Linked DNA regions of Drosophila melanogaster. The protein of the gene in region 1 interacts with the protein of each later gene in a pairwise test. Each region holds a gene or a part of one and is shown on either strand. Other genes may lie near its edges.

What was found.
Region 2: the proteins of Spx (region 1) and CtsK1 interact in a two-hybrid assay, tested with the Drosophila melanogaster proteins (one large-scale study listed by BioGRID).
Region 3: the proteins of Spx (region 1) and Cda5 interact in a two-hybrid assay, tested with the Drosophila melanogaster proteins (one large-scale study listed by BioGRID).

What each region holds. Positions count from the first base shown.
Region 1 is NC_004354.4:6,254,039-6,257,795, reverse strand, and holds Spx (spliceosomal protein on the X), read right to left. Parts: upstream 1,975-3,757; 5' UTR 1,886-1,974; coding exon 1,852-1,885; intron 1,778-1,851; coding exon 1,694-1,777; intron 1,636-1,693; coding exon 710-1,635; 3' UTR 200-709; downstream 1-199. Other genes in the region: Rbcn-3A (Rabconnectin-3A), read left to right, coding at 2,448-2,534.
Region 2 is NT_037436.4:13,992,373-13,996,129, reverse strand, and holds the start of CtsK1 (cathepsin K1), read right to left. Parts: upstream 1,900-3,757; 5' UTR 1,779-1,899; coding exon 1,730-1,778; intron 1,340-1,729; coding exon 350-1,339; intron 271-349; coding exon 1-270.
Region 3 is NT_033779.5:57,625-61,381, reverse strand, and holds the start of Cda5 (chitin deacetylase-like 5), read left to right. Parts: upstream 1-2,113; 5' UTR 2,114-2,192; exon of another isoform or gene 2,193-2,423; intron 2,424-2,650; exon of another isoform or gene 2,651-3,133; intron 3,134-3,188; exon of another isoform or gene 3,189-3,199; 5' UTR 3,200-3,231; coding exon 3,232-3,301; intron 3,302-3,757.

The DNA.
Region 1 (3,757 bases):
ACCAAAATCGCTTAGGCAAGAATTCAATAGACGAAGAGTAAAAAATGAATAGTAGTCAAAACTATTGTAAATACTGTACTTGTATGTTTCCCATATTAATAAATTTATGCTAAACAAATTACAAGACCAAAAAACAAACGTGTTTCGAAAAAAAGCGGGACGGCATCATTTTGGGAATGCTAAAAAAGAATCCTAGTTTCATTTCAATAAATGGAAAATCATTCCTCAGTTTATTTTGAACTACAAGCTAGTTTCTATACATAACTTCAAAGGATTGGACATTAAATTAGAGGGAGCCCTTTAAAAATACTTAGTTAAATTACAAAAAAAAATTATCGCTTTCTTCGTATGTTCCATTCAAATTAAACTTACAGACTTGTTAATGTAAACGTTTTATGTTTATTGAAAATAGTTCCGTTTAAAAAAAAATCAAGAATCGAGAGTCAATTTATATCAAATCATTTCGTTCATTTCAAAATTCTATTCAAAGTTATTTAATTTCGTCTTGTAAGAATTCGAAGATTGTATTGCGACTACTAAATGGAAATACAATGATGATCTAAATGTCTCCCAGTGGTTTCCCGGTTGTTAAATGCATATTAGAAAGAAGAATGGAAATCTTAACATATCCCAGAGCAGGCTTCATTGATGAATCCTATTGATGTTTATTTCTCGTCTCGTCCAAATTGGTATACACTACACGCTAGACTTAGTACTGGTAGCCGTCGGGTTGATAGGGCCGTGCGTAGGGCGTGGGTGGGAAGGGCACGGGCGGCGGACGCCAGTTGGTGGGCGGTGGTCTGGGCGGAGGAGCAGGCATGCCGGGCGGTGCCCATGCATTTGGTTGCATCATGCGAGGCGGCGGCGGAATGCCCATTGCTGGCGGCAGCGGCGGCTGTCCGCCGGTCATCGGTGGCAACGGAGGCGGCGGTATCGTAGCTGGGAACGGTGCAGGCTGGGGAACGGGCGGCGGCGGTGCTAGCATGCCCATATTGTTATTCGAAACGGGCACCACCGGCGGCGGCGGCGCCATCATGGGTGGCGGCATCATCTGGCCCGGCATCTGGGCCGGGATCTGGCCCGGCATCTGGGGCATCATGGTTTGCACCGGTGCATCGGCGAACAATTGATGCGGCCGGTCTGCATGGGTCGATGGATTCTGGGCGGCCAACAGGCGCTCCGCAGCCGAACCGTGACGCTCGCCCTTGTGATCCTTCTTGAAGGCATAGGACACGGAAATGGGACGGTTGCACAGGTACTGGCCGTTCATGGCGTCCATGGCCGCATCGCTGGCCTCGAAGCTGGCAAAGTTGATGAACGCAAAGCTCTTAGACTTGCCCGTCTCTGGGTCTCGCATGATCTTCGGCGTCTGCAGTATAACGCCGAAGGCGGAGAACGTATCGTACAGCAGCTTCTCGTCCACTTCCACGTCTAGGTTGCCAATGAAGATGTTGGCGCCGACGTCCAGGTTCTTCTGATGCGCCGACGCCTTGTTCACGCGAATGGGCTTGCCGTAAAGCTTGATCATGTTCATGATCTTTATTCCATAGTCGGCGTCTTCCTCGCTGAGGAACTCGACGAATCCATAGCCCTGGTGCATTTGGGTGACACGATCCTTGGGCATGTGTACGTTCACTGCAAGCATGACGATTAGGGAGCTGCTAGGCACTATACATGTGTGTCCGGGACTTACCCACTGGTCCTGCCTGGACAAACAGCTCCCAAAGCAGCGTTTCCGACACCTTGTCGTCAAGACCGCCGGCATAGATGGTGGCATCTGTGGAAGGAACGGAAAAGGCGGGTTAAAGCGTCTCCCAAGTGGTGCAAATGTGGAGTGGAGGTCAAACCCACCTTGGTTGCGTTCAGCAATTGGACCTGCCGCCATTTCGGAGCTATTTTTATAAACAAAACCAAAAACTAATTTTCGGCGTTTTCAACATGCAAAAATGCTCGCAACACAACCCTGAATATCGAAACAGCCTATCGATACCATGAATCGATATATATTCCACGATTTCGTTTTTATTGGCAATCGAAATTGATATCGAAATCGAATCAAATCGAACGGATATTAGAAAAAATACTAAATATAGACGAAGCAGAATAATTAAATATAATTTCAATAGGTTAAAATATTCACCTCTATTTTTTGAAAATAAAATGAAATATTTTAATAATAATATTTTAATTAAATGATAAACAGTTTTTCGGTTAATTGGAGTAACCGTATTTAAATTACTCAGGCGATATTTCGCCTCCCATGCCGTGCCATCCCTAATATCGATAGTTCGATTGGCCGCGCTGGCCAAGAACCCAACTCTAATTTTTATGTAATGTCACTTTGTTGTCGTTTGTTACAAGAAGCAAGGAAAATTCGTGCTAGAAACCAAAGAACCAAGACCCCAATATCCGTGCGCTGTGATGTGATAATCAACTGTGTGTAAATTATGAATTGTCATCAGATTTTGAGCGGCGCTTGCAATGCAGGCGACCGGTGCTTCGCCATTGGCTCCGTGGAAGGAATACCATTTACAGTAAGCACAGAGCCATCCCAATCCGAATCCGGATCGAATTGGGTGAAAATCGGTGGCGGAATGTGCACCATTATCGGCCCAACCAGCCGGACACGCCCCCCAACCCCCCCACGCACACTTGGTTCAAAAGGTTGAACCGTTTCCAATTGGAAACGGGGCATCATCATCACCATCGTCGTCATTCCAACAAGAACCGATCGGAGCACGTCTTTAATGTTTTTATTTACATATTTGCGTGTGTGTGGTGTGCGTGTGTGCGGTGTGTGTGAATGTGTGTTGAATTTTATATCGTTTTTTTTTGCCACACTTGGTGGTCAATTAAAAAATCAAATGCAAATGATGAGATAGAGAACTTTTCGTGTTTGCTGGCTGGCGCTGTGCAAAAATTCGATAACAACAAAGTGTGCAGCTCGAGTGTGTGTGTGTGTATGTTGTGTGGCACAACAAATACAACACAATGTTTGTTTTCACCTGCATTTACATACCTGGCCAGCAATTAATTACATTTTTATTTTTTTAAGGTCAAGTGCTGGCAGTAAACAAGCCGCACGCACACACACACACACACATGCGCCAGTTGCAGTGAGAGTGTGTGCTTGAAAGTATATACGCATGTATATATATATAAGTGCGAGTATGTGTGTGTGTATACCCTTCGATTGGTCAGGTGGCCTTTGATGCCCTAATTTCGCAGCTTGCAGGCTGCCCACCTTCCCCTTCCCACGAACCCTTTCTCTATGGCAGCACCCCCCGCCCCGCAACCCCTTTCGCCAACCCACGTCAATGGCAAATTGGAATTATAAACGGCCATAATAAAAAAACGTGAGCACGCATTTATAATGTGCCTTATTCGATCCCTATACTATATACTACCAAATACTCTTAGCAATCTGGCCATTTTCGTGTCTAAAACCTTTAACGGTAACAGGAAAAAGTTGAAGAGCTCACTATAAACTTCGCTATGTCAACTTCGAGTTTATAAACATTACACCCATTGAGACATGTGTACTATATGTTTACTCAGAATGTTTATCCGATGTAGAGAACAAGGTCTGTGTTTTCCTGCAAAAACCCAAGGAAGCATAATTAACTACTGTGCACATTTTGCCATTCTAATGAGAGGCCCCACGGGGCGTATGTGTACATTATATATATATTCTATATTCTACTATATTCTATTCTGTAATCAGCACCGCCGTTGACACAGTCCCCCGTTCACAGAC
Region 2 (3,757 bases), on another chromosome or scaffold:
CCAGCGTCACGTTGTTGACGTGACAGTAGCCATCCTGGCCCAGATAGGGACCGTACTCCTCCTCCGTGGGCACTCCGCCGGACTGCAGCATCCACTGGTACACGCGGAAATCCTCGCCACCATCGCAGCCATTGTTGCCATAGGCCCACGAGCAGTCAATCAACGCCTGCTGGGAAAGCCGGACCAGATTGCCGCCATTCTTCAGGAAGAAGGCGCCCTCCAGGTGACCAATGGTGCCAAATGACCAGCACGATCCGCACACAGATTGATCTAAGGGTAGTTTACGTTTTAAGCAATTCAATATTATCAAATTCATCTAAGTAAGTACTTAGGGAATGAATGAACCCACCTTTCACCGGAGTGACAGCGCCGTATAGCCGCCAGTCGTACTGGTCGGGAATCTCGTCCTTGTACTTGGGCACATCATAGGGGAACGGTTTGCCGGTGTTGTAAATGCCCGATGATTTGTATCCTCGTCGTGCCTTCAACTCCTCTTCGGTCTTGTCGGCCAAGTGATTAACGGCCAGCGTGTAGGTGAGTTTGGCCCTGTTCTTTGAGTGGATGTAGCGCAGGTTCTGACGGAAGATGTTCTTGCGATGCTCGTGTTCCGTGTCGCTGTGATAAGCAACTCCGTGCTTGCGCTTGAAATGGTGGAAGGCCTTGTCCACATGCTCATCGGTTCCGGATATAAACTCCTGCATGGGATTGAAGGTGGCATAGTGACCGGTGCCGGGTCCGGGGAATCCGACGCACTGCAGGCTGTCATCGATCTCGAACACCTCGTTGGGAATATCATCGTGCTCGTAGCTGTCATAGTCCAAGTAGTAATGATCGTAGTGCGATCCCAGCAGGGTGTTATAGCCCCTCATCTCGTAGCGCACGGGAATGGGCATTCGGCTGGAGGGATAATGCGGCGACTTCTTGTACCGCACCCACAGCGTATAGATGTTCTTCTTTTGGCCAATTGTCGACTCCAGGCGGAACTTGTCGCACGTGTAGCCCAAAAAGGATTCGGTGCCCACCAGGCTGAAAGGTTTCGCATCGGGCAGGATGCTCTGAATATCGACAGCCTGGTCGGCGGTGCCATTCACCTGCAGACAGGTTAGCTTGTTGTTCTCCGTCTTGGTGGTAATCGGTGCCAGCTTCAGCAGGGTTCCGTACTGACCCTCGCCAGCCAGTTGGTATGTCTTCACCATTCCGCCGTAGTAATCGATGCGGGATCGCCTCGTATTCTTGTCATACCAGGCGTAGAAGGGTTCCGCAATCTCGGCGTACGGAATGTACAGGGTTCCTTTGACTATGTAGTTTGGATCCCATTTCGGCGGATTCGTGGCATTAGCTATTGTCGTTGGCGAAAGTGTGGAGAGATTCAGATGAGAAATGAGCGGGAACTTGACAATAAGAAACGGTAAAGGGCAGCCATCGAGGTTTAAGCTCACGCCATTGCTTATATACTTCGTATATATACAGCTGCGGTCAAAATAGCAGTACATGCCCTTTTACGTTTATTTGATCTAATTTAAAAGTTTAATAAAAACATGTTCTTTTTACTTTTTAAATATACTTCATGGCAAAAAAAATGATGATAAGCTAAAGTTTCAATCCTAAAACGATGACCTCGATTGTTTTAATATATGCATGTGTGCATTAGTTTAAAGCGCACACAAACGCAGAAACAATTACTCTTTGTTTGGCTAAACACTTTAGCATTCTAACGTCTATAACTCACCTGAGAAAGCCAAGCCTGCGAGCAGGGCTAAAGCTAAAAACACTTGCATTCTTGAGAATTCACCAGAGAATTGTCTGGAATATTAATTGATCCCGACTCTAGTATACTACCTATCTTTTCGAAGAATTAAACTGTTCTGCCGGCTCAATAGTCCGATTGCTTTAACAACAACTTTCTATGGGTGAGGAGATAACGCCGCCGTGAAAAACATCGGTATTAATCGGTTGAAGAGCTTTCTAGTTTGTAATAAGAGCTTATCAAAGTTCTTTGCTTTTTGTCATGGTAGTATTTTATTCTACAAATTATTCGCAATTCTATGTAATCCGTTAACATTTTCTTTTATTTAAGAATTTCTTTATTAGAAGAAATATCTTTTCTGTTCACTTACTGAAGAATTGCTTCTTTATTTTAATAAAATATCATGTGCTTCGATTTTGTAACTTAAGAGGTTTAGTTTGATTTTGCAATATTATTTTAAATATCGATAGCAATTACAATTTTTATTGCGTGCACAGGGTGCACATGATTATACAGATATTTTATACATCTAGTGTGACCAAAGTGCTGAGATTAAATGTTTTTTTTTTTAATTTAAAATATTGGATGCACTTCTTTCTGGCTAAGCTTTCAATAAAAAATAATCGAAAAAACCGCGAATGATCTAATATTCAAGATTAAAATAGAAAAATTTGTCAGAAAAAAATAAAACCGTGTCTAGGGATCAAAATCGGGATTGGAAAAATTCTATTTTTAAATTCGTTAAACAGCTGACAGTCAGGAGGTATAGATAGTCACTCATCTGTCTCATCACAACGACTCTCTCTCGGCTCTCTCTTCCCTTCTCTCTGTGTCTCAGCGATATAAAGTCTCACCCTCTCTTCGGAACTTGAACCTACTCCAAGTTTTGCTGCATTGCGCCCGCTCTCAAACCGAACCGATAGTCGGACAGCACGGGATCCCGAAAGGACCCCGAGCAGATGTCAAGCTACCACCGAAGGAGCAGCATCGTCGTCGTTGTCGTCCTCGCCCACACATCGTTCTTTACCGTTACAGCTGTGGGTTCGGCTCAGTACCGTTAAGTTCGCCAATCGCACAAGTTCGATTCCCAAATCGCATGGTTTTTTTATACCAGCAAGAACTAGACAACACACAGATATCTGGTAATGTTGTAAGACGTGGATTAATGCAAACTGCAAACCGTACAAGTGCGCCGTACAAGAAAACGCAATTAAAAGTGCATTAAAAATTAAACGAAAAGTGCTTGTGTGTGCGTGCCAGTGAGGCAAAAAGTTTTGCCTGCGCCGAATTGGCCAAAGTTAAATGTTTTAAACGCCAAGTTAGGCGAATTATGTGAAAGTTTTAACGCGATAGGCGAAAACAAAATGTTTCTGTAATTGGCGGCGGAGGAAAAGCAGTCCGAAAAAGGTAGCAACGTTGCTGAAAATGAAATCAAACTTTGATTTATCGCTGATTGGTTCCTGATTGGCTGTTTTGGCAGGCCTTTTGAATCCCCACACAAAAACAAGAACTCCCAGACGAACATACATATACATGATCCATCCACATACATAGGTACTACAATACAATACATATGTATGTACATAGCTGTTGGCGTTTATATGTATGTGTTTTTGGTTCAAATCTGTATAGTATTATGGGCATAGAGGAGCATTTCCTGCCCTTGTCACAGTTGTTACATTTTCTCTATTCCGCCGCTCACCAGCTCACACAGTCGGTCATCAAAAAGTCAACAAAAACAATATAAATTATGTTCGTGGAAAAGCACAAGCAGCAGGATGCTAGAAGACCTTGAATGCCTCTTAAGGTGTAATTGGATATTGACGTGGAACGAAAATTGCATTTTGAGCAAGGAATAAGAGCTTCTTTGTAAAAGGATTGTTTGTAATATGAAGCATATTTGTTTTGGCCTTTTAGTGGAATGAATGTGATTCAATATAAAAATACTTTTGACTTCGTTTTCTCTCAATTTTTAACAAGAAATAGTTAACCATTTAGTGTAGATAATCA
Region 3 (3,757 bases), on another chromosome or scaffold:
CAAACACCTAAGACAAAGATTGCCATACACCAGAAGTCACCAAGAGAGCTGCGTTTGAAAATAATACTATTAACTATGATGTATCCACAGTGTTTACAATTTTTCTCTCACTACAATTTTTGACATTTTTGATTTGTCACTCACTTCATTGATTAAATTTAATGCTTCAACATTTCGTAAAACTATATGATTTAATTAAGTGTTTAACGGCAATGACTTTTTCAATTAACGGAACTATTGTATTTTTGTCTTCCATTTATTATTCAAGAGTTAAGCACAATGCTCCAATATTTCAAGTATACCATAAACTGAAGGCTCTGACCGATTCGAATTGCATGTGTAAGCAAAGTGCGGGTTTACTTGTCGGGTAACCACTTTATCGAAAACATTATAGGCGAGTTTTGAGGGCCAACAATTTGACAATCATTTTCCGTTGAGCTTTTTCTGTCTGAATCAACTTGCGATATCTTAATGCGTGCTAACTATTGACCATATTTTGACAGGTTTCATATACATAACAGAAGAAATATTTGTTTCAGGAAACGGAGTTATTACGGTTCATTAATGAGTTTGCCAAATCGCCTGTTTTACCAAACGTGGCCAAAGTGTTCTTGGTATACCGATAGAAATTTACAAGGGTTATAATAAAATAAAAAAAAATCTCAAAAACTTTTTAAAAGTGTGCGCGTGGCAGCTTTTGGGGGTTTGTGGGCATTAGAAGGAACGCCGCCAAAGTGTTCTTAGTATAACGATAGCTATGGGCGGTCTGTGGGCGTAAGAGTGGGCGTGGAAAAAATGGATTTGGCAAATGAATATAAATTTACAAGACTGATGAAAATATACAAAAAAATATGCAACAATTTTTCAAAAATGTGGGCGTAGCAGTTTCGGGTTGCTTGAGGTCGTTACAGTGGGTGTGGCAACATGGGACAACAAACTTGCGCTGCGTCCATGTCACTAGAATATGTATGCTGAATCTCAACCTTCTAGCTTTAATAGTTCCTGAGAACTCGACGTTAATACGGACGGACAAGCCTGATCGACTCTGCCAATGGTCTTGATAAAGTATTTGTATATTTTATATGGTCCGAAACGTTTAGTTCAAGATACACTTCGTTACACACTTTTTAATATAGTAACGGAAATAATTAAATAATTTCCTAAACAAAGTCAAAAATATTCAATGCAACAAAACACCTCGCCCTCCATTCACAGAAAAAATCGTGTGAAACACAATCCAGCAAAAATAAATTAATAAATAAAGAATTAGATTAATTCGCATGCCTTGCTCAAACCATCAGCCATCGCCGTTCACCAGAACCCCTTTACTTCAGCTGTTGTTTTACAGCTTTTGCTTGGCTTTGGTTGGCTGCTTTGGCCTAGTTCTTGGTCGTTGCCATGTTTTCAACTCGGTTTTACTTTCAATTCTATGGTTCGAAATTGGCCACTTTACTTTAGACTTTAGAGTAAAGCTATATGTTGGGCATATAAATCGAATTTATCAAGGGCAATTCAGCTGGGTGGTATTAATTCTAAAAGTGATTGAGTGGTCTTCCTTCGATCCCATGCTTGACATGGATTCAAGTCCAAGCCCATGTTGAAGTAGTAAGCATTCTTTAATTTAAGCACCGTAATCCACTATCGAGCGATCCAGAAACCTGCTGCTAAACGAAAATGTAACGAAAAAGGTAACAACATTTCACAATCGCCTTGGTAAATAGTTTCCCAGCCTTCGTTGGCTAGAGGGTGGATATTGTTGTAGTTTCAGAAAACAATAAACAAAGCCCGCTCCCCGCTTGTAGATAGCTTGAAACTGATGGGGAGCTTTGGATGAAATTCTCAGTAAAATGTTGAAATTCACTAAGAATATGGGTCTGGACTACATTTTTCTGATAACTTGTATAACTTGTAAAACGTAGCAAAGCTGCAATGGCGCAAGCGTTAACTTTACTCTTACTTTCAAAAGCTTAAGAGATACAAACGACTCCGCGCGGGTGCAGCAACAACTTGAACAGTCTGTTAATGTAAAGTAACAGTCGGGGCCAAGCGTGGCGCAGACCAAGCTTGGCCCAAAAGCCAGACTTCGAAACTTGGTTGGCTGGCTGCGCTTGCCCAGAGTCTCAAGACACTCGTCCGCACAGTCGCGCTGTATAGTTGTTTCGATTAGGACGTGTGGTTCGCTTAAGCGCACGGTAAGCAGAGACGCTCGAGGGTCACCCGAACTTGTCAGGCGGTCTAAACTGTTTGCAATAAGCCACAATCAATTTTTGGGCTTTCGATTGCTAATTTATTTCGTAAACGCGTCGAAATAAAGTCCACCTCTGACTGGACATTGCAACCAGCCAAAAATTTAACATTTTGTAGAAAGCAGTTTTAACTGCATTTTGCAGTTTAGTCGAAGAGCTCAAGCGTGTGTGTCGGTGGTAAGCTAACTTTGCGTTAAAAAGAAAGTTTACGCTAAATATATATACAAGCTTCGACAAACAAAATAAAAACGTGCAGGTTTTGTTTTATTTTGTTTCGCATTTTCCTCTACGCGCTACAGACTAGTTCATACAGAGTTTTCCAATATGGAGGTGCCCGCGATACCGTACGGGAAATCTAAATCAAACACCGATCTTCGATTTGATCTCTTTGCATTTTTGTCTAGCAATCTTTTCCATGGTAACTACAAAACGAACAGCGGTCATTGCAGTCTCACGTGAAAGAAACTAAAAAACCTAACTAAAAATCGCTTGCCAAAAGCAATGGAGGAAAACTAAGTGTTGTAATCTGTAAACGTGTGTGTTAGCTATGCATCGTCGCGTTGGTTAAAGCCAAACGAAAGCTCGAATAATAGGGGCAGAAACTAAATCTGCTTACAACAATACAAACATGTCCTAACCAAGTGAAGGCACAGCCACAAAGCCGCAGTCGCGGCATAAGCCAGACACACCATTAAGAAAACTGTAACACAAGGCTCAAAAAATCTAAATTGAAAAATTGCGACACTGCCTTCTTAGTTATTTAGCAATTGTTTTCAACAAAACAGAGGTTTTCTCAACGGTAACTGCCTCCGTCATCGGTACGGTGGCTGCTGCTGCTCCCCACTTCCCGCGCTTCCAACCACTATTTTTATCCGAGCTTGCCTATGGTATTTTAAATTCTGTGAACTAACCCCAAAACGAAACTGAACCAACCACATCAAGAAAATTTACAGTTACAGTTACGACGACACGCCATACCTGCAATATGAAGTATTCAACAAGTCGAATAAACATTCTGTGCCTGCTGGGATTGTGCCTACTGCTTTTTAAAACAGGTGAGTAATGCCCACTTCAGTGAAGAACACTCTGCTAGAAATACAAATGGAGGCAAAAACTTAAAAGAGCAAAGGGCTTACACACTTTACCCACTAGTCCTAGAAGAGTTAGCACTTAACCAGATTTTAAGACAACCATGGATAAGTATTCAGTTCATGTATGAACTGAAATCTTTTTTTAAACGTAGATCCGAAAAAGTTTTATTTTTAAGTGAATTGTTTTTACAGTACTATGGATTCTTCTTTTCCTCAATCATATTCGAAACTTCGTGATAGAAATATTATGTTCCGCAAATAAAGCCAAACTTGTTTTGAACACTGTTCCGGCTGCCATGTACGAGCTCGCAATAGTCTAATGTCAAATTCAATCACCGTAGAAGAAGTCAAACCACCAGCTGTTAACCACTTGTGTTGAGCTCTATTGTGGATACTCCGGCTCCGGCTAAACGAGTTTCT